2 linked regions of the Cricetulus griseus genome follow. The main gene of each other region encodes a partner of the protein of the gene in region 2 in a complex. Links are inferred from orthologs where the notes say so. Each region holds a gene or a part of one and is shown on either strand. Other genes may lie near its edges.

The links. Proteins that work in one complex are often made in the same cells at the same time.
Region 1: the proteins of Rab11fip1 (region 2) and Rab14 are in contact, whole or in part, in a crystal structure (PDB 4D0G), measured with the Homo sapiens proteins. The link is inferred for Cricetulus griseus from reciprocal best matches to the Homo sapiens genes RAB11FIP1 and RAB14. Residues at the interface, in NP_001002814.2 of Homo sapiens: Glu1252, Ile1255, Asp1256, Asn1257, Leu1259, Val1260, Met1263, Pro1267, Asn1268, Leu1270, Arg1271, Ile1272; in NP_057406.2 of Homo sapiens: Leu28, His29, Ile44, Gly45, Val46, Glu47, Phe48, Gly49, Trp65, Arg72, Arg74, Ala75, Val76, Ser79, Tyr80.

What each region holds. Positions count from the first base shown.
Region 1 is NC_048599.1:146,992,137-147,002,744, forward strand, and holds part of Rab14 (ras-related protein Rab-14), read right to left. Parts: intron 3,778-10,608; 5' UTR 3,771-3,777; coding exon 3,719-3,770; intron 2,701-3,718; coding exon 2,647-2,700; intron 1,154-2,646; coding exon 976-1,153; intron 1-975.
Region 2 is NW_023276807.1:56,690,445-56,699,986, reverse strand, and holds the end of Rab11fip1 (rab11 family-interacting protein 1), read right to left. Parts: intron 3,270-9,542; coding exon 3,051-3,269; 3' UTR 3,050-3,050; downstream 1-3,049. UniProt on the Homo sapiens protein: A Rab11 effector protein involved in the endosomal recycling process. Also involved in controlling membrane trafficking along the phagocytic pathway and in phagocytosis. Interaction with RAB14 may function in the process of neurite formation.

The DNA of each region.
Region 1 (10,608 bases), on a different chromosome or scaffold from region 2:
ATCTCCAGCTGTCACTTGGTCCCACTCACTTGTTTCTTAGGAGGGACTCTTCTTAGGGTTGTTTTCGACTGTGCATCATCATAAAAGGTGACCAGTTCAGCTGGACATTGGTGGCACACGCACTCGGGAGGCAGAGGCAGGCGGATGTCTGTGAGTTCGAGACCAGCCTGGTCTACAAGAGATAGTTCCAGGACAGAGAAACCCTGTCTGGGGGGAGAGAGATTAAAAAACAAAACAAAACAAAAAACCCATCCAGTTCATCTAACATACAGCAGACAACTGTTCTGGTCTAGTAAGGAGCAGTTTGCTATGTGCTCCAAAGTCAAACCTTTACATTACTGTTTTGTGACTTCATGTCAAATACTCTGAGTTTCCAGAAACAGCCATGTTGTCAGGAATTGAATCCTGATGCAGTGTTTTAAGTCACTTCAATACCATAGTAGAAAAATGAATTAAGAAAATGAGTAAATATTACATATAAACTACCACCTAAATGTCAAAAAAGTCATATATATCAAAAAAGAACCTCCTTTTGGCCTATAGATGAAAACACAGGATCTGTTTCATTCTACCATGCTGCCATAACAAAACCAAGTGTTTCACTCCTCACTTGGCCTATTTGCAGACGGTGTCAATTTTAACACAAAAGACTGCATACAGCGATTCCTCAAAACTGACTCGCCTTCCCTGAAATCAGAGTTTCATATAAAGCCACTTCTCTGCAAACAACTGGTGCTGCTTCACAGACTGTGTTCTCTCAGTTCCCCATTGTCTCCACAGTCTTTCATTAGCCAACTTCAGGTGAAGAAAACCAGCATGTTATTTAAGTTTGTCACAATTTTAGAGTAGAAACCACAAAACCTAAGTGAATTATTTACAGTCATCCAATTACAAACTAAAGAAAGCCTACCTCAGTAAAAAAGAAACCACACTGCCCAAAGTAGAGGTCTACTCCCAAGTATGACATCATCTTACCTGGTGATGTCATACACCATGAGTGCACCCGCAGCCCCTCTGTAGTAGCTCCGTGTAACAGCTCGGAACCGCTCCTGTCCTGCTGTATCCCAAATCTGCAGTTTGATTTTTTGGCCACTAACTTCAATTATTCTTGTACCAAATTCAACACCAATTGTGTGAGGACAGTCAGCCATAACTGTTGGAGAAAAGATCCAAATTTCAGAAAACCTTTGTGGCAAGCATCACAAAAATGCCAAAATCTCAATTATTTTTAGCTTATAAATTATATTATACGGCCTCTTTCTCTGCCACAAGATAAAAGTTGTACTCTAAATCTTAGCCAGTCATAAAACCAGGATGAATTCTATTTAGTATTCTAAAACCACTAATTTTAAGCCGGTCGGTGGTGGCCTTTAATCCTAGCACTCGGGAGGCAGAGGCAGGCAGATCTCTGTGATTCAATACAAGCCAGGTCTACAAGAGCTAGTTCCAGGACAGCCTTCAAAGTCACAGAGAAACCCCGCCAAAAAGCTACTAATTTTCATAAATAAATGATACATGCAGTGCAAAAAAAAAGTTTCTTAAAATAATACATTTTAGCTGGGTGGCGGTGGCACATATCATTAATCCCAACACTCAGGAAGCAGAGGCAGGTGGATTTCTGTGATTTCAAGGCCAGCCTGGTCTACAGAGCGAGTTCCAGGACAGCCAAGGCTACACAGAGAAATCCTGTCTCGAAAAACAAAAAAATATATAATAATAATAATAATAATAATAATAATAATAATAAAAAATTTGGGGGCTGGAGAGCTGAAGAGATGTCACAGTGGTTAAAAACATTTGCTGTCCTTTCAGAGAACCAGAGTCTAGTTCCCTGTACCACCTACGCTAAACTCACAACTGCCTATAACTTACAGCTCCAGGGGATCCAACACCCTCTTCTGGTCTCTGTGAGTATCAGCCCACAAATGGCATACACATACATACATACCAACATGTACACATGCATACATGTGCATACACCCACATAAATGTTTAAAGGGTACATTTAAAGTAAAAGAGTAAAAATGAGGTTTTTTACATTTAACATTTTACACATTTTTAAAAATTAATTCTATGTTTGTACTACCAAGAAATCAAAACAGCTTGCCATGATGGTGCACATCTTTAATCCCAACACTCAGGAGGCAGAGGCAGGTAGATCTCTTTGAGTTTGAGGACAGCCTGTTCTACACAGTCTATTTCAAGTCAGCCAGAGCAGAGTAAAACAGTGAGAACCTCTTAATAAACAAACAAACTAACTAACAAAAATCAAAGTAAACCTAGTTATACATCATGAATTAAAAGAACAACATTTAAACATGCTGGTGATAATACTGCATTTTATCTGTACCTATTAAAAAATTTATGGCACTTGGGGCCACAGAGATGGCTTAGCAGTTAAAAGTTCACACATACACACACACACACACACACACACACACACTCTCTCTCTCTCTCTCTCTCTCTCTCTCTCTCTCTCTCTCTCTCTCTCTCTCTCGTAAATCTTTAAAATCAAACTTGGGAAAAAAGTGTAAATATGGAGACAGGTTATGATCAAATGCATAAATTACACTGAAAATAATGCAAAATGTGAATGTGACAATAAAGTAAGCTACTCATCTTTTTTACCTTTTATATTGAACTTACATTTTTTTTCTGTAAATTGATGAAGCAAGCAAGATTTTCCTACTCCCATATCCCCTGTTTAAAACAAGAAAAACGTTTCAGGTGGCAATTCTTCTATTTCTCTTTTTTACTCTTAAAATCATATTGCAGTAACTATTGCACTGGGGATATAAAACACATAACAGGTTTCTGAACACTTGGAGCATCTGCATCTCCTTCTTTTATAATGAATTCAAAAGAATGTTTATAAGGATCGAATTTTGTTGTAAATTACTGTTAGTAAAGATCCAACATGTCCATGGCTTGTGACAGAAGAATTACCGTTATGGAACTTTTAAAATTTGAACTGCTTCCAGGTGGGTAGCCCAAGTACACCTGTTGGTCTACGCAAATGAACTATCTCCCAAGGGCAACTAGAAATAATTAACAAATTAAATGTTGGAAGCTTGACTCACTATCTCCTGTTTTACCTCTAAGTTACAGCAGATGCCATTTCACAAAACCACACGAACTTGACATCAAAGCTTTTTATTTATTTATGGTTTGTTTTGTTTTCCACGCTGGAGATCAAACCAAACCCACAGCCTGGGCAGGCTTGGAGGAGTTCTACCCCCAGCACACAATCCAACCAACACCTGGGCTTTCACCTGTCATTTTATAAACATTCACAGATAAACAGCATTAAGACAATTTGAGCAAAGTCTTGAGGAAACAAAAATATTCTTAAATAATACATATTACACAACTGATTCTGAATCAAACTGTTCTCTACCAATGCTGGAATTCAAGGGGACTGGAAAACTTTTATGATATTGGGATATTTCAGCGCTAACAGGAAATAATTTCATCCCCAACACTAACTTTTGGAAGTGGCCCTGAAAAACAATCACAATCGTTTCACTAGTGCCCCAAAAGAGAGTAGAGAAGTACCCAGGGCCATGATACAAAAGGCATGTTATCTTCATCAAAAAGCTTTATTTCTTAAGTCAGAAAATCATGGCACTTCTGCAGCAGTATGTTTAAGTACTGCTGTATAAATGTTTCATGTGTTAACTTTCTTTGGAGGACAAGAATACAAGCTTAATAAACTTACCAATAATAATATACTTAAAGATGTACGAGTAGTTGTATGGTGCAGTTGCCATGGTGGCACTAAAAACAAAGAAAACTATGTTAATTCAGAAAAAAAGTACACACAAGTTATCTAAACCCACTACTACTACCCCTTCAAAAGGCAAGATATATTTCAAACATACACATTTTTTAAATATACCACACATATTAAAAAGCATATTGACTACACAAACAAAACTTTGATCTAAGTCAGTAAAATTCCCAAACTGATTACAAATTTTTTTGAATAAATGTTACTGAATATTCTCATGTTATCTACAAAACTATGAAAAAATATGCTCCAAAACACTCCCAAGTTTACTTTAGAAAATACCCCAAAACAAATATTCTAGAAAATTTAAGAGAATCTTTGTAAATTTAAGTGAAACATCATTCAACAGTTCCTTCTCCATTTAAGGTCCTTTTCCTTGTTAACTGATCAAATAAGCTATGATATCAAAATTAAGCACTAACAAATACAAAATAACTTCTGTCCTCTACTTCAAATCAATACTTAGCAAAGAACCTAAAGTCTAAAGAACAAGAATGTAATCAAAATCAAATTGATGTCAAAATTAGATTGAATCACTTGAAATTGTTGTTCTTACAGACTTTTAAAAAGGGAACAATTATTATTGCAATTTCATATAGCTCAACTCAATATGGTATTTAATTATTAAAAACACATGAAGTGTATTGCATTCTAGGAGTTGAGAAATAATCCTATAAAGCTACACTCATGCTTGTGAAATGCAAAAGCTTATATAGATAGATAGATAGATAGATAGATAGATAGATAGATAGACAGACAGACAGACAGACAGACAGACACTTCCAAAGATCACAGCCTACTCCTTAGTCCTCAGGTAGACAACCTAAAAAAAACTTTAATTTCTTTACTACTTATAATAACTTTTAACCTCACAAGCACAATGGCATGCACGTTAGTCCCAGCTGATACTCAGGAGAGTGAAGGATTATTTGAATCCAAGCTTTTGAGGTCAACCTGGACAATAAAGAAACCTATGTCTCAAGAACAAAAATCTTCCCAAATAATTCACATTGGGTGCCATTATGTATCTAACACTGTGCTAGGTTCTAGAGAAACATTCTAATATCAATAGTAACATCCAATGCATTTATTTAAACCAGCTTCCAGCTAAGGAAAGACAAAAATCATACACATCAAGACATTGTTAAAAATGCTTGCTTTTTATTGTTTTAATGAATATTTTGTGATAACTTCATGCTATATGTCAAATAAAACTTCAACATAATCCAATAACCTACAGGGAGAACATTGCAATAGGTGAATAATCAAGGAAAAGAAACCCTTAGAGCAGGAAATTAGAGAGCACCTCACATAATACATGGTCGTCTGTCTCACTGTGCTATAAAGACAGCATTCAACACAAGTCCATGCCTTGCTCCCAATCCACCCAGCATGTTGTGACACATTTTAATCAGTCCTCCACATCACAGAAAACTCCCTTAACCAGTTCTTTCAAGGGGAGTTTTTCTAGTTAGATTAGCTGGTATTCTAAACACTAACTGTTACCTCCTTTCCAGAAGCTACTAGGATTCAAACTTTAAAATGAACTTGGCCTTAACCAGAATTATGGCTCACGCCTTTAGTCCCAGCACTCAGGAATCAGACAGGCAGATTTCTGAGTTTGAAGTCAACATGGTCTATAGAGTGAGTTCCAGGACAGCCAAACTGTTACACAAAGAAATAAAACAAAACCCTTGGCCTCAAGGTTAAACTTTGATCTAAACTATTTACCAGATATCTGAACCAGCTACTAATTACAAGGGGGAACCCCAAATTAAAGAATTTTCAAGGTTATTAAATTCTTAACCTGTAGCAATTTTTTTTCTTTTCCTCTAATTAGTTTTTAATTCCTAAAATTCCTTTCCAAAGGAATCATTTGGTCACCTCTGAGTAAGTTTCTCTTGCACTCTTCCCCTTGATTTTCCTATTTTCTTTCCCTCTTCTGACTAAAATTTTATATACATACTTTGCTTCCTTCTATTTTATTATGTTAAAATTCAGCACTAAGGAGACAGAGGCAGGCAGATCTCTTTGAGTTTGAGGCCAGTCTAGTCTACAGAGTGAGTATAGCGAGACAATGGACGGACGGACGGACGGGTATAGATAGGATGGATGGATGGATAAATAGATAAGACTGATTTAAGAAAATTACAGATCTTGTATTGAATGCATGCTTAACATACACAAGGCCCTGGCTTCAAGCCCCAGCACACAATACCCAAGAATTATGGCTTTTTAACAGTTCCAAAGTCAACTAACTTCAAGTGTTCTAGGAACAATCATGAAATTAACTTAATTCGCTGGACAATTTGTATACATGCTGGTTGTCACACATAGCATCCTCTAAATATCAACTGAAATGATGAGTTTTGAGAATGTTTTTAAGAAATAAACATTAATATAGTAGATTTTCAAATAAATCACTATTTCAGGATAAACACCAAAGCTTTGTTTCTACTTCACTGAAATAATTTTTCAACACAGGTTTCTTTTACAATTACAAGTAAAAAACCCTAAAAGCAGAAACCAGGAAACAGTGCTGGGGACATACCTCAAAAGAGTGTTTGACTAGCATGTACCAAGAGCCAGTTTCACACATAAACAAGCCTCGGTGGCACAGACCTATAAGCCCCCACTCAGGTAGAAAAGAGGTTCAAGATCATCCTCTGCTAAATAATGAACTTCAGAATAGCCTTAGCTACATGAGACACTGTCTCAAAACAAACAAACAAAACAACAAAAACCACCAAATTTATTGATTTCTGTAGACAAAATCAGAAAACTTATTCAAAAATAAGAAACTGGTAAACTCTAAATAATCTCATAGTTCTTTATTCAATCAAAATGATGGGTTTACAATAGAGCTATATGTAAGGGGCTACATACACTTACCCTCACTTTCTTGAGTTTTCTCAACCTCACTTCTCCAACATAAAGCATGTGACTGATACAGTAAACAAAGTATTTTTGCCTAGTTTTTAAAAGAGGAAAAAATAATTCCTCTGTTTGCTTTAAAAGCTCAAAGGTCAAAAAAATGCAGAGGAGGTAGGATGTGAGCAAGAAATGTTCTAGTTCACAGTGAAAGCACAGTCCACTCATTTAAAAAAAGAGTTTGGCATTCAGGGCATTGGTTTTGCACGCCTTTAATCCCAGCACTCATGAGGCAGAGGCAGGCGGGTCTCTGTGAGTTCGAGGCCAGTCTGGTCTCCAGAGCAAGTGCCAGGATAGGCTCCAAAGCTACACAGAGAAACCCTGTCTCGAAAAACAAAACAAAACAAAAAAGGGAGGATGTTGGCAACTTTCTATAGCTTGTGTTAGTTATTAAAATGCATTTTCTTGGGGGCTGGAGATATGGCTCAGAGGTGAAGAGCACTGGCTGCTCTTCCAGAGGTCCTGAGTTCAATTCCCAGCAACCACATGGTGGCTCAGAACCATCCACAATGAGAGCTGGTGCCCTGTTTTGAGGTGCAGACATACATGAAGGCAGGATGTTGTATTCATAATAAATACATAAAAAAATCTTTGAAAAAAATGCATTTTCTTTACATTTTATTTTGTGAAACTGGCTTGCCCAGGACTCACTACATCATCCATTTATAATTCTCCTGCCTCAGCCTTCTGAGTACTGTGACTATAGGAAATGCTACCCTTTGTTTATTTTTTTTAAATAAAAATTATTTGGATACAGTTGACATTAAGCTCTCCTTTGATGCCTTTGGTTTTTTAAAAGGAAAACTGAACAATTTGTAAAATACTAACACAACTGCCATAGTTTCCATTTATGGGGCATTTATGGACCAGGCAATACTCTTTAAGTGTGACTTCATCTTGACCGCTGTCCTTATAAGACAGCTAAATGAGGAAATGACTTCAAGAGGAAAGTAGTAGTCTAGCTCAGGCAGTTTAGGACCAGTCTATACTGTATCCAGCATGTTGTTAACCAGGTACCAGAAAGCATGACGCTTTAAGATACTGACTGACCTTTCATTCCTGTGTTTCTAACGTAACACTCTGAATAAGAAATATTAAATAAGTACATTTGGAGTGTGTACAACTACAAGTGTACAACTAATTGGTAATACTGGTTTATTACCTATCTACTGTTAACAATGAGAAGGAACATTTGAGAATAAATCATACAATGATGTTACTTTTCCCTATACTAATTCTTAATTCTCACAACTCTGTAAAGGTATTGTTATTTTCTTGCAGAAAATGAAGAACTTGAGATTTGGAGAAATTCACTACTTTGACCAATGTTCTAAAGTTAGTAAATGACAGACCTAGAACTTGAGCTCAGAGGCATGACTCCAAAGAGCACAATGTTCTCAACTAACTTAGTGAAGATGTGCAAAGGTAGACACATAACCATCCTTGGCTATCAAAAGAAATCTTCACAAAATGCCCCAATAGGCACTGATAATTGTTGCACTATGTAATCAAGAGGCCACTTTTAAATACTAAGCATGCTTAATGTTGCTTTAATAAAGGATTTCTCAATGTTATCTCAATACGAAAAATACCTATATTAAGAAGATATGTAAGCTTTATTTATAGATGGAATATATTGTCAGTTACTGGTGGCGCACACCTTTAATCCCAGCACTCAGGAGAGAAAGGCAGGTGGATCTCTGAGAGTTCGAGGCTAGCCTGGTCTAAAAAGTGAGTTCCAGGACAGGCAGGACTACAGAGAAACCTTGTCTTGAAGGAAAAAAAAAGAGATGGCATATACCAATGCATAAAACATGTAACAGAGTCAGGTGGTGGTGGTGCACCCCTTTAATCCTAGCACTTCGGAAGCAAAGGCAGGTAGATCGCTGAGTTTGAGGCCAGCAGGTCTATATAGCAAGTTCCAGGACAGACAAAGCTACACAGAGAAACTACCTTGAAAAACCAAAAAAAGAAAAAGAAAAACCAAAAGCAAAAGCAAACATGTAGCATGTTCTTTTTCACTTACTGAAATCATATATATTCCAGAATCAATACATTTATAATTAAATGATTACCAAACATATATTACATGCTAGTCATTGTTGTACCAAACAAAATCAGATCCCTTCCTAAGATTATATAAATGACTAATTTTTAAAATTTATTCTATGAATATGAACATTTTGCCTGCATGTATAGTATGTGCACCACCCGAATGTCTGGTGGGCACAGCGGTTGAAGAGGAGGCTGTAAGATTCCTTAAAGCTAGAGTTATATGGCTGGTTGTAAGCCACCATGTAAGTGCTGGGAATGGAACCTGGATCCTCTGCAAGAGCAGCAAGTGTTTTTTACTCACTGAGACATCACTCTCCAGCCCCAAATAACTAGTTTTAAAGGTACTGGTACAGACCTCAGAGTAAAAAACAAAGCACCCAATAACAATGGGCATGTTCTCAGGCTTATATTTTAACTCTTATGTATTCGTTTATGCAGTGTCATTCCCTGTTCTATACCTATTATAGTCTATTCCTCAGATCACTACACAATCTTTACATAACTAATTAGTGGAAAAAACAATTTTTTTTAAGTGATCTAACGACTTAATATCCTGCCTTAGTTTTAGGTTTTGATTTATATATTTTGTTACTGGAGACAAGACTACTCTTGTGATTCCAACACCAACAATATGAAAATACCTAGTATCTAAGCACAAATCACTACTACTAAAGGTTTTAACAGTTATCAAAAAAGGGAGTAACATTGTCTCTGCCTTCACAGAACTCAAGAATGGATGCATTCTTGCTTAGAAGCTCCTGAAGTGGAATGATACTCAACTTGTCTGCCAGGTGGACATAAAACTTTCATAGTTAATCTAATAATCTAATCAAAATGGTCAATTTCCTTCCCATAATAGTATTACGACCTCTGAAAACAACATGTTCATTTCTGAAATCAACTTTCCACAAGTCATTTAAGGTTATACTTTTGTGTAAATTAATGTAAATAAATTCTTAAAAGTACTGGGTTGCTTGACAATGTCCCAAAAGAAAGACAAAACCTTCCCACTAAAGATAGTATGCTATGAAGAAATAAATACTCCAATTCTTCACCCTCTTTTCCATAAAAATACTTAACCAAAAAACTATGAATCCTGTATTTGAAAGGATTATAAGAGTAAAAATGTTCCTGACATATCTGAGATACAGATGAGGATGGGAGGAGCAATGCATAGCTAAAACAAGACTGTTCACTGCAGACACCAACTGATGGGTAATATGATAGTAATGCTCATTAAACTGATATTCAATATAATGCTTTATTTTGCAGACTTTGAAAAGTTTGAAATATGGTATCTCATATATAATCTAGTATTATGGAAACTTATATAATAAAGTTGTCTCTTAATACTAACATTTGTCTCCTGCCACAGCTTTTTTCATAGCTATTTGTGTGTATGCCTGCACACACGTGGATGTCAGAGAATAACAAGCAGGAAGTCATTCTTTCCTTCTACCACATGGGTTCCAGAATCTCACACAAGCTGTCAAGCTTGGACCAAGAACCTTTACTGACTGAGCCATCTTACCAGCCCCATGTTGCTAACATTTTTTAATGACACAAGCATCCCAATAGCTTAGTTTTAACATTTTTATCTTACACGTCTTGGTAAGAGGATGCAAATATATACTTACAAAGTTGGCTGCAAAAAATTTCCAAGCTCTTTTGCAAAGTTGAAGTTTACAAGTATAAAATTTAACATGAAAACAGCAGATTTTTTTAAAGAAAAATATCCTTAATTCCAAGGAATTTTCAATAGCTATGAGAATCTAAGATTTTACATCTTTATATTATAGTAACTCCACTTACTAAGTGTCTAATATAAACCA
Region 2 (9,542 bases):
ACTGGGAAGCTGGAGGCACACAGCTCATCTATCATGCATGTGCACTGCTGTTGAGCATGGCACAGAGCAGGGCTGCTCGCTCCTTCCTTCTGGTGTGGAAGGAAGGAGAACTAACGTACTGGAATAAAACAGGGAGGCCAGGCCATGAGGCAAAGCCAAGCATAAGATGATAGGAAGCAACTGGACAGAGGGCTGACTGTTTTTTAGGAAGCTGACCTCCAATCGGAGTCTGCTGGATTTATTCCAATGCCCCCTCAAATCCTGGCTGGGCTTTCTGGAGGCAGCCAGGCAAGGGCAAGGAAAAAAGCCCTTTTTTTTTTCCTGGAGTGCAGGCCCCTCCAGTGGCCAGCCTCAGTAGCTCCCAGAGCTCTCCAAGTCACAAACCTCTCTCTCACTGCAAGCTTGGTTTCCCTTGGTGTCTTCCTTCAGCCCCCAACTGCATATTCAAGACCAGTTATTAAGTAGGTGTGGCCTCTATGTATTCTGTGAGTGACAGCAGTTAGAAATGCAATGTTTTCCAGTGAAGCCCTTGAGGTAAATTATCCTTCATTCTCCAGAGTTCCCAAGTGGCATTTCAGAGCACAGGAATTCACTCCACCTAAATGGTCCTCTCTAGTACTAAGTCAGTGACATGCCAAAGGTCCCAATCGCAGCAGAGACCTCCAGTCTGGCCATTAACAAGGCAGTTAGTTCTCCAGGACAACTCTTTGGAGAACCAGTGCTTGCCCCCATGCACTTAGGTTATCACAGTACAAATGCATTTTTATCAAGTAAAAAAACATGATCCAGAACAGACATATACATGTACATTTTCAGAGTTCAAGTGAGTATGTTTTTTTTATAGGCATATTAATGAATTTTACAACACTAAAAAAAGAAAAATTACAAATCATCTCAGAAATCTGCAGTGGTCCCTAGTATTGTAGGAGAGATTAAATAAAAATAGGTGTGGATCATTAACAGCTAATTAGATAAATCAAGTTATAGTCCCACCCTTCAGCTTAAAGTGCTCCAGTGTAACCAATGGTCCTCATCTTCCGGATGACGAGGACATACACAGAGAGATTCTTCATTCATAACTACCACCACCTCCACCCTGTCCATTCCACTGGCCTGTGATTGCCCCTAGCAGAGATGTTAAGATCATTACAACCAGGAAGAAAAAAAAAAAGAGCAACCTGAAACACTTTAATTCTAGTATGAGGTGTCCAGCAATGAAATGGGGCTGATATATATATATTAAAAAATACAGCAATCTACCAGGCATGACGACACATACCCATGATCCCAGTATTTGGAAAGATAAGGCAAGAGGGATGAAAGTTTGAAGCCAGTGAGATCCTGTCTCAAAATAGCAGCAACAACAAAACTCCCCCCAAATCAGGAAGTAGCAATCAAAAAGCAAGTGTGGGGTGGGGATGGCAGTGCTCGATACCACTGAGCACTTGCCCAGCCCTAGCCCAAGGATCCTTCATCTTGAGGAATTGGTGGACTCTGGCTACTCCCTTCCATGAACATTGTCAGGAAAGCCAATAAGACAAGCAAATGGCACATGGCCAAGGGACCCTTCCTAAAGTCATTTTCTACCTCACAGAAAGGCTGAAGTATCTGCATTGCTTAGTCCTCTCGCCAACAACAGAACCCTGTTAGCTTGAGAGGCGGGACTCTGACCATTTTTCCCTACTTAAAAGAAAAGTGACTTTTTTTAAAAAAAAAAAATGTGCCATTGGTGTTTTGCCTGCATGTACGTTTGTGAGGGTGTTGGATCCCCTGGAACTGGAGTTACAGAAAGTTGTGAGTTACCATTCAGGTGCTGGGAATTGAACCTGGGTCCCTCTAAAAAAGCAGCCAGTGCTCTTAACTGATGAGCCAGTCTGAAAAGTGCCTCTTTAATTCCTTCATGTCTTCAGGAGATGGCCCTATGGATCTAAAAAGCAGTGTGGATATGTGCCTGTGGGTGTGGTGGCATGTCTTCGTATGTGTGCATATGTACATATGTGGGGTGTATTCACCTATGTGGGATCATATGAAGGGCAGAGGCTTAAGGTAGGCAGAGGCTTATTAAGACAGGGTCCCTCACTGAATCCAGAGTTCCCTGTTTCAGCTAGAACGGCTGGCCAGTGAGCCGCTGGGCTTTGCCAGTCTCTGCCCGCCTTCATCCCTCTGAGCCCACTCACCACCCCCACCCAGGCACCTGCCACTACTGTTGGCTCTTTTGCATGGGTGCCGAGAATGCAAATACAGATTCTCATGTTTGCAGTGCAAGCCCTTTACCCTCTAAGCTGTATCTCCCCACCCACAAATCATATTTTTAAAGCTAAAAGGCAGAAGGACCTGAAAGAGACAATTTGTTCCAAGTCTAAGAAGCATGCTCAGAGGTTTTCGTAAACAGTTGTGCTCCAGGCAAGAGGCATCAACACAGCAGTAATCCCAACACTTGGGAAGTGGGGGCAGGAAAATCAGAAGAAGGCTAGTCTCAGCTATACAGTGAGTTCAAGAGCAGCCTAGGCTATACAACAGCCTATCTGGAAAACAGACCAATGCCCCCTAAACAAAAACCCTACCAAAACAATCCTTGAGTCTGAGAAGTTCACAAGACAAAAATATTTAGAATCTGCCACACCTGAGCTGCTTGAAGGCCAAGAAAGGAGGTGAAACAGTATCCATAGTATAGTCCCTTTCTGATCTCACCCTAAGCCTGGCTTCATGGAGGATACACACTTGATGATCTCCGTATCAAAGGGCGAAAACCCCAGTGTTAAAATACATTAGTTCCGATGGTGCCTCCTGAATTGATGGCTCAGAGTCAAATCTTACATTTACAACTTAGTTAAAGGCACAGTGGCATTTAAAATTAAAATGCTAGGAATGTATAGAAAAGATTCATTGTAATAATTAACCTGGTTTCAACTAGGAGAATAAACTCTTGATAGACAATGCACACACCCAGTGATGAGAGCCTGTGTGCTGGTTACTATGAAGACCATGCCTTTGACCTTGAGAGTTGGTGGAAACAAGCTCACAAAATATCTCCATTTCCTTCCTGCGGTTCACATCTTTCCAGCCTTTTTGCCAAGCTGAGTCGGCACTCGGAGGATATTGGGGGTCTCCTCCATGACTCTGACTAGCAGGTTGTCTATGTAGTCTTCCAGCTCCCGCACCTGAAACTCCTTCTTGCTGATGGTTTCCTTCTGTTTGAGGACCAACTGGATCAGCTCATCATGGGTCAGCTGTGCATAGGCAAAGGCAGGATCCGAGGGCTGGTATTTCTGTGGGGAGGGGAGGAAGAGGGAAACAGTTACAAGTCAGCAGAGAAAGCAGACTTCTGAAAGGAATGCAAAGAAATTTCAGCAGCCATTGGAGTCTCTCTAACACTCATTTTGTTATTCTTCAGAGTCTCTCTATGTAGCCCTGGCTGACCTGAAACTCACTGTGTACACAGAACAGGCTGGCCATGAACTCATGGAGATCCGCCTGTCTCTGCCTTCCAGGTATTGGGATTAAAGGTTCATGCAATCACAGCTGGCTTGGAAATCCACTTTCAACATGGGCTGAAAACAGGTTGCTGACTAAAAAAAGTACCACAGACTTTGTAGACTGCGTAAAGGTTGCTTACATGCATTTTTACTTACTTTTTATTTTCTTTTTGCTTTATGATCCTTTGAAAAATGTAAAAACCAGGGGCCTGGGTGTAGCTCAGCAGTCGAACACTTGCTAGCATGTGTAAAGGCCCTGGGTTTGATCACCAGCATTTAAAAACCAGGAACTATCCTTGGTTTTTAATTCCTAGACCTCTGGTCTTGACCTGGGCACATGTTTTCAAGAAATTTAATAAGGGGGCTGGAGAGATGGCTCAGTGGTTAAGAGCACTGGCTGCTCTTTCAGAAAACCCAGGGTTCAATTCCTAGCATCCATATGGTAGCTCCTAACCATCTGAAACTCCAGTTCCCAAAAACCTAGCACTGTCTTTTTAGCTTCCTCTGGCACTGCACGCACATGCACACACACACACACACACACACACACACACACACACACACACACACACACACACAGATATACATGCAAGCAAAACAACCACAAACATTTAAAAAAAGGAAAAAAGAAGGAATATAATGAGAGCTTGGTGGGGAGGAGGGAAAGGAGGAAGAAAGCAACGTCAGATGGCAGTAGTAGTCACATAATCAGCAAGCCTCAGGCATAGTGTGCACACACTGGAGCCCAGCCACTTGGGGGGCTGAGGTAGATGAACCACTTGATCTCTCAAGTTCCTGGAGTTATACAACATGCAGAGCTGGAACAAGCCCCAAGTCAGAGTGGAAAGAAGATGTGGGGAGCACCCTCCTGCCTACACTGTAGGGTACCAGCTAATGAAGTCAGTCTGCTACCTTGAGGCACCCCAATTTGAGACTCTACCAAAACTTACTCCACACTCTCAAAACATGTATAGCTAAAGCCAAGTGCCACCAGGCCATGGACCTCACAGGTCACCTGAGTACACACACTCTGGGTACATAGTGGCCTGACCCAAGGACTGACTGTTTCTGTTTCTGAAGGGAGCACGTATCCGGAACAGTTGCTTTTAATGAGCATATATCATCTGGGCCAAGGAGACTCTAACTGCAAGCCTGAGAGTTCTGGGCCAAAAGGAAGCGAGAGACAAAAGACTCAGTAAGAAGTAACAAGTCACATCAAGGCCTTAGGAGGGAGTAAAAGGAAGGGCCTGGCAATCTGCACCTCAGATATACAAATTCAAGGAAACAAGACTCCAGAACAACTCAAGGTGATTTCTGCCCCCAGAACTCCAGGGCAGTAACAGGTTTTGTCACTTTTATCTTCTACCAGGAAGACCAATAAGTCAAGAACCTACCATCTCCAAGCAGAGCCAGGAGCCTGAACTAACAGTAATAGTCCAACAATAGCACAGAAGCCCCTCCCTGCCCCATCCAGAGAGCAAAGTGCCCAAGGAGAAGAATCCAGAGGAATTCTCCTTTCATTGGCTGGCTTAGAAACAAGAAAAACAAGCACTGTTTTCACATACACAGTAAGCATGAATCCAAATTAGGGGGCACATGAATAATGCAGATGCCAGGCTATTTCTCCCTTCCTCACCCCTGCTTTCGTCCTTTGAATTTGTTGAGGACATCTATATGGGGGGGGGGGGTTTGACCTTTTTTGGTCACGATACATAAGTGCTCTACCCCTGCACTCTGTGTGTGGCTTCCAAAACTAGATTCGAATTGGGCAAGATGGCACACACCTGTAATCCCAGCACTTAGAAAAGAGGTTAGCCTGAATCACGAAGCCAGCTTGGCTACAGTGAGACACTATCTCCCAAACAAAGCAAAACAAAAAACAAAAGAAGCTAAAAATCAGATTCAATGAAAAAGTTTTATGTCTAAGAAGTGTTCTGGACTTGGATACACAACAATGTGGATGCATTTAACACTACTAAATTATGTTTAAAATGAGGCTGGGCTATGGAGGCACACATCTTTAATCTGCACTCAGGACACAAAAGTAGACACAGGTCTCAGGAAGTTTGAGGCCAGCCTGGTATACATCAAGAGTTCTAGGCCAGTCAGGGCTACAGAGTAAGACCCTGTCTCAAAAAAAAGTATGATGGAAGCCTTCATATCATGAGTTTTGTCATAATAAAAAAGATATCCAGCCGAGCAGTGATGGTGCACGCCTTTAATCCCAGCCCTTTGGAGGCAGAAGCAAGTGGATCTCTGTGAGTTCAAGGCCAGCCAGGTCTACAGAACAGCTAGGGCTGCTTGTTTCACAGAGGACACCCAAAAAAGGTGTCTATTGATGTTTCACATAAAGAAACATACCCTTGAGGTTTTTAGATTACACCTCTACAATATAAATGTTTTGTCAAGAAGTACTAATTAGTGGTTGAGTGTACAGCTTGGTTGACGATGTATATGTTTAGCAAGAGTGAGGCCCGGTGTTATTAAATCCATAACTCAGTCCCTCTCCATCTCTTCTCTTCGACACGGGGTCTCATGCAGCCCATGCTGGCCTGCAGTTCCTGGTCCTCTGCCCCCACCACTCAATTCTGGGGAATATGAGTGTGCGCCACCACACCCGGCTTTCCCTTTTCTTTCCTCTTTGCTGTCTTCCTCTTCTTTCTGAGACAAGGTCTCATGTAGCTCAGACTGACCTCAAACAAGGAAGGTCTTGAACTGCTGATCTTGTGGTGGGATTACAAGCACGTGGTACTACAACACCCAGTTTATGTGGTATTGAGGATCAACCCCAGGGCTTCATGCAAGATAGATTTAATAGAAAAATTTAATTCCAGTACATTTTAACCATTGCTGTACTACTAGATATTTATGTTATTTTCAGCTTTACAATCATATACAACATTTCTTTAAAAAGATTTGCTTGAATTTTAAATATGTATCTGGGCATTATCTGTGTACACAAGTGTATGTGCCCAGAGGCCAGTCTGGAAGAGATAGAGGATGGAAAAGGAGCCTTGTGAAAATGTCTTCTGGACAGGAGGGCCTTGCACTCATGAATACACAGCAGCAGCAGTTTATAGGAAGACAGGACAAAAGGTAGGAGAAGTATTAGTCAGGAAGAAAAAGGGCACCCGCAGAAGCCAGGTTGGGGCTGGAGTACCAGGAGGTGAACATAATCACAATACATTATATTGTCCTGTGATACTGTCAAACACACAAAAATGACTTTTTGATGGAGGCCCTAAAACAGCAGCCAAGGGGGGGAAAAAACAAACAGAAAACATTGTTGCAATGACCCTACTAGCTTTTTCATTTACTTTAGCTGTGTGATTTTCCCTTCACAACCTCTCTTATTTTGAAGTTATTTTTACAAATGCTGCTGTATGCTTAGTACAAATCTGCTATTCTCCAGTAAGCCAACAGCAGTCTCTCAAGTGTTTTCTATATTTACCTAGAATATTTACCTGGGAGGGTTCAAGACCAAGAGATTTATGGCAGGTCAAGGGCAGCAGTGGGCACACGAGTCATGAAGCAAACTGAGAAAGGGTGCCTCTCTTTGGTCTTACTCAGTCCCAGGAGATAAACCCTTGATTAAATGAACGTTGAAGGGGAAATAAATCAAGGGCCTTGCTTACTTTCTGAAAAAGAGGCATTTGCTTCTCTATGGGCTCAATGCCTAATACATCAGTAAAGTCAATCAGCCAACCAATCACAAATAAATAGATAGACAGATACAGATAGACAGACAGACAGGCAGACAAGGGGCTGGAGCATCAGCTCAGGCTCAGCAGTTTAAGAGAATCTGCTCTTACAGGGTTTGGCTTCCAACACCCACAGGGTGGCTCACAACCATCTTTAACTCTAGTTCCAGGAGACCTAGTGCCCTTGACTGTCCTCCATGGGTACCAGGCCCACCTTTATGTGCCTATACATACATGCAGGCAAAACACTCATATACATGAAATAAAAACAAATACAATCAGAGAGTCAGAAAGCATCCTGCACTAACAGGAAGTGGGAAGGGGAAACTGCTAGATGGCTACACGTCATTATGTCATCTTTATGTTGTCCTGTAGCTCAACTTCCTAGTAAATATCAGGAAAATAAACAAACAAACAAACAAAAACCCTTTCTGGCAGAAAAACTAACAAATGAACAAACAAACCTCCTGGGAGATATTGTTGCTGTTTCTACTGACAACTATCACACCAGCAAACCAAGTAGGTAAATGGAGTTACACCAGGTACAAAGTGTCGGGGCTAAACCATTGTAGGTACATGGTTTGGTCACTGGTGATTGTTAGTATTCGTGCATCTGTATGGTATGCCCTTGGGGTTCTGACAGGGTACACTATGTGCATATTCACTGTGTTCCTTTTTAAAAGGGCCCCCGTCCACCTCCCATCGCCCTCCCTCCTTCTCCTTCTCTCTCTCTGCTTTCGTCCCCTTTTCTCTCCTGCTGCTCATATCCTCAGAGATGGTCTTCCCCCTCCCCTTCTTCCCTTTCCCATTCTCCACCCCCCAAAACAACAACAACAACAACAATCCCTCCATGTGAGCTGCTGCAGGGCGACTTTCTCTGGAGCCATTTTTGTCGTTGTTGTTGTTTTGTTGGTTTTTTAAAATTTCAACAGTGGCATCTCTGAAAGCAATGTTGCCTTGTTGGCCCACTTTACAAGGAAAGAGGTCAAGGACGGAGCTAGGCGATGCTAAGTTGTTTTCAGCAATAATTATCACTGCTGAACCACTTTTACTCAAGACTCCGATCCAAAATCCAATGAATGCTTAACCCAGCTCCTGGTGACAGAGGTACAAGGACAGCAACAATCATCAAGCATATAAAAACGTTTGCAAGGGCTGGAGAGATGGTTCAGTGAAGAGCATGAACTGCTCTTCCGCAGGATTTGAGTTTGGTTCCCAGCAACCACTTGAGGTGGCTCACAAACACCTATAACTCTAGCCATGGTTATGGCTTCTGAGGGTACCTATACCCACATAGACTCGAATATCTTAACAATAATAAAAATACAATCTTTAAAAAAAAATGCCTTTGAGTGCTGGGATTGTGTGGCCTAGCATGTCCAAAGATGGTATCACACATACCTACAAGAAAATCTTTCAGAAGGGAGAGGATATAAGTAGAACATCTGATTTTGATTTTTTTTTTTTTAAGACAGGCTTTCTCTGTATAGTCCTGGCTGTTCTCAAATTCAGAGATCCTCATACCCCTTTCTCCATGCCTGGCAAAACCCTTTTATTAAAAAAACAATAGCAGGGCATGGTGGCATGCCTTTAATCCTAGTACCAGGAGGCAGGGGTAAGGAGATCTTTGAGTTTGAGGCCAGTCTGGTCTACCAGGGCTACATGCTGAGACTCTATCTCAAAAAACAAAACAAAATAACCCTTAAGAAACTGTATATATATATAATTTGTTTTATAAAGGTGTTTGTTGGTACATGCCTTTAATGCCAGCACTTAGGCAGATCTCTGTGAATTCAAGGCCACCGTGCTCTTTCAGGATATCCAGGGCTACACACCCTGCATCAAAAACCAAAAAGTGCAGTTCTCAGCAGTAGTCTGAAACTCCCTCTCCAAATATTTGGGAGAGAACACATCTCTGGCCATTACAAGGCGAGTTAAAGGCCTGGGCTTTGCAACAAGGCAATATTCTAAATCTTATTTTAAGACCATAAAGGGATTGGGACTCAGATCATTAATAGAATGTATGCTTAGTAAGTAAACAGTCTTTGATTTTACCCCCAGCACCCACCCCCCTCCAAAAAAAAAAAAAAGTGAGTATTTGAAGCCAAGAAGTCATCCCAAAATGAAAAGGATGCATAGACAGGGGCTGGAGAGATGGCTCAGAGGTTAAGAGCACTGGCTGCTCTTCCAGAGGTCCTGAGTTCAATTCCCAGAAACAACATGATGGCTCACAACCATCTATACTGAGATCTGTGCCCTCTTCGGGTGGGCAGGCATACTTGCAGACAGAACACTGCATACATAATAAATAAATAAATCAAAAACAAAAAAACAGATGCACAGACAATATATAAGGGGCAGGACT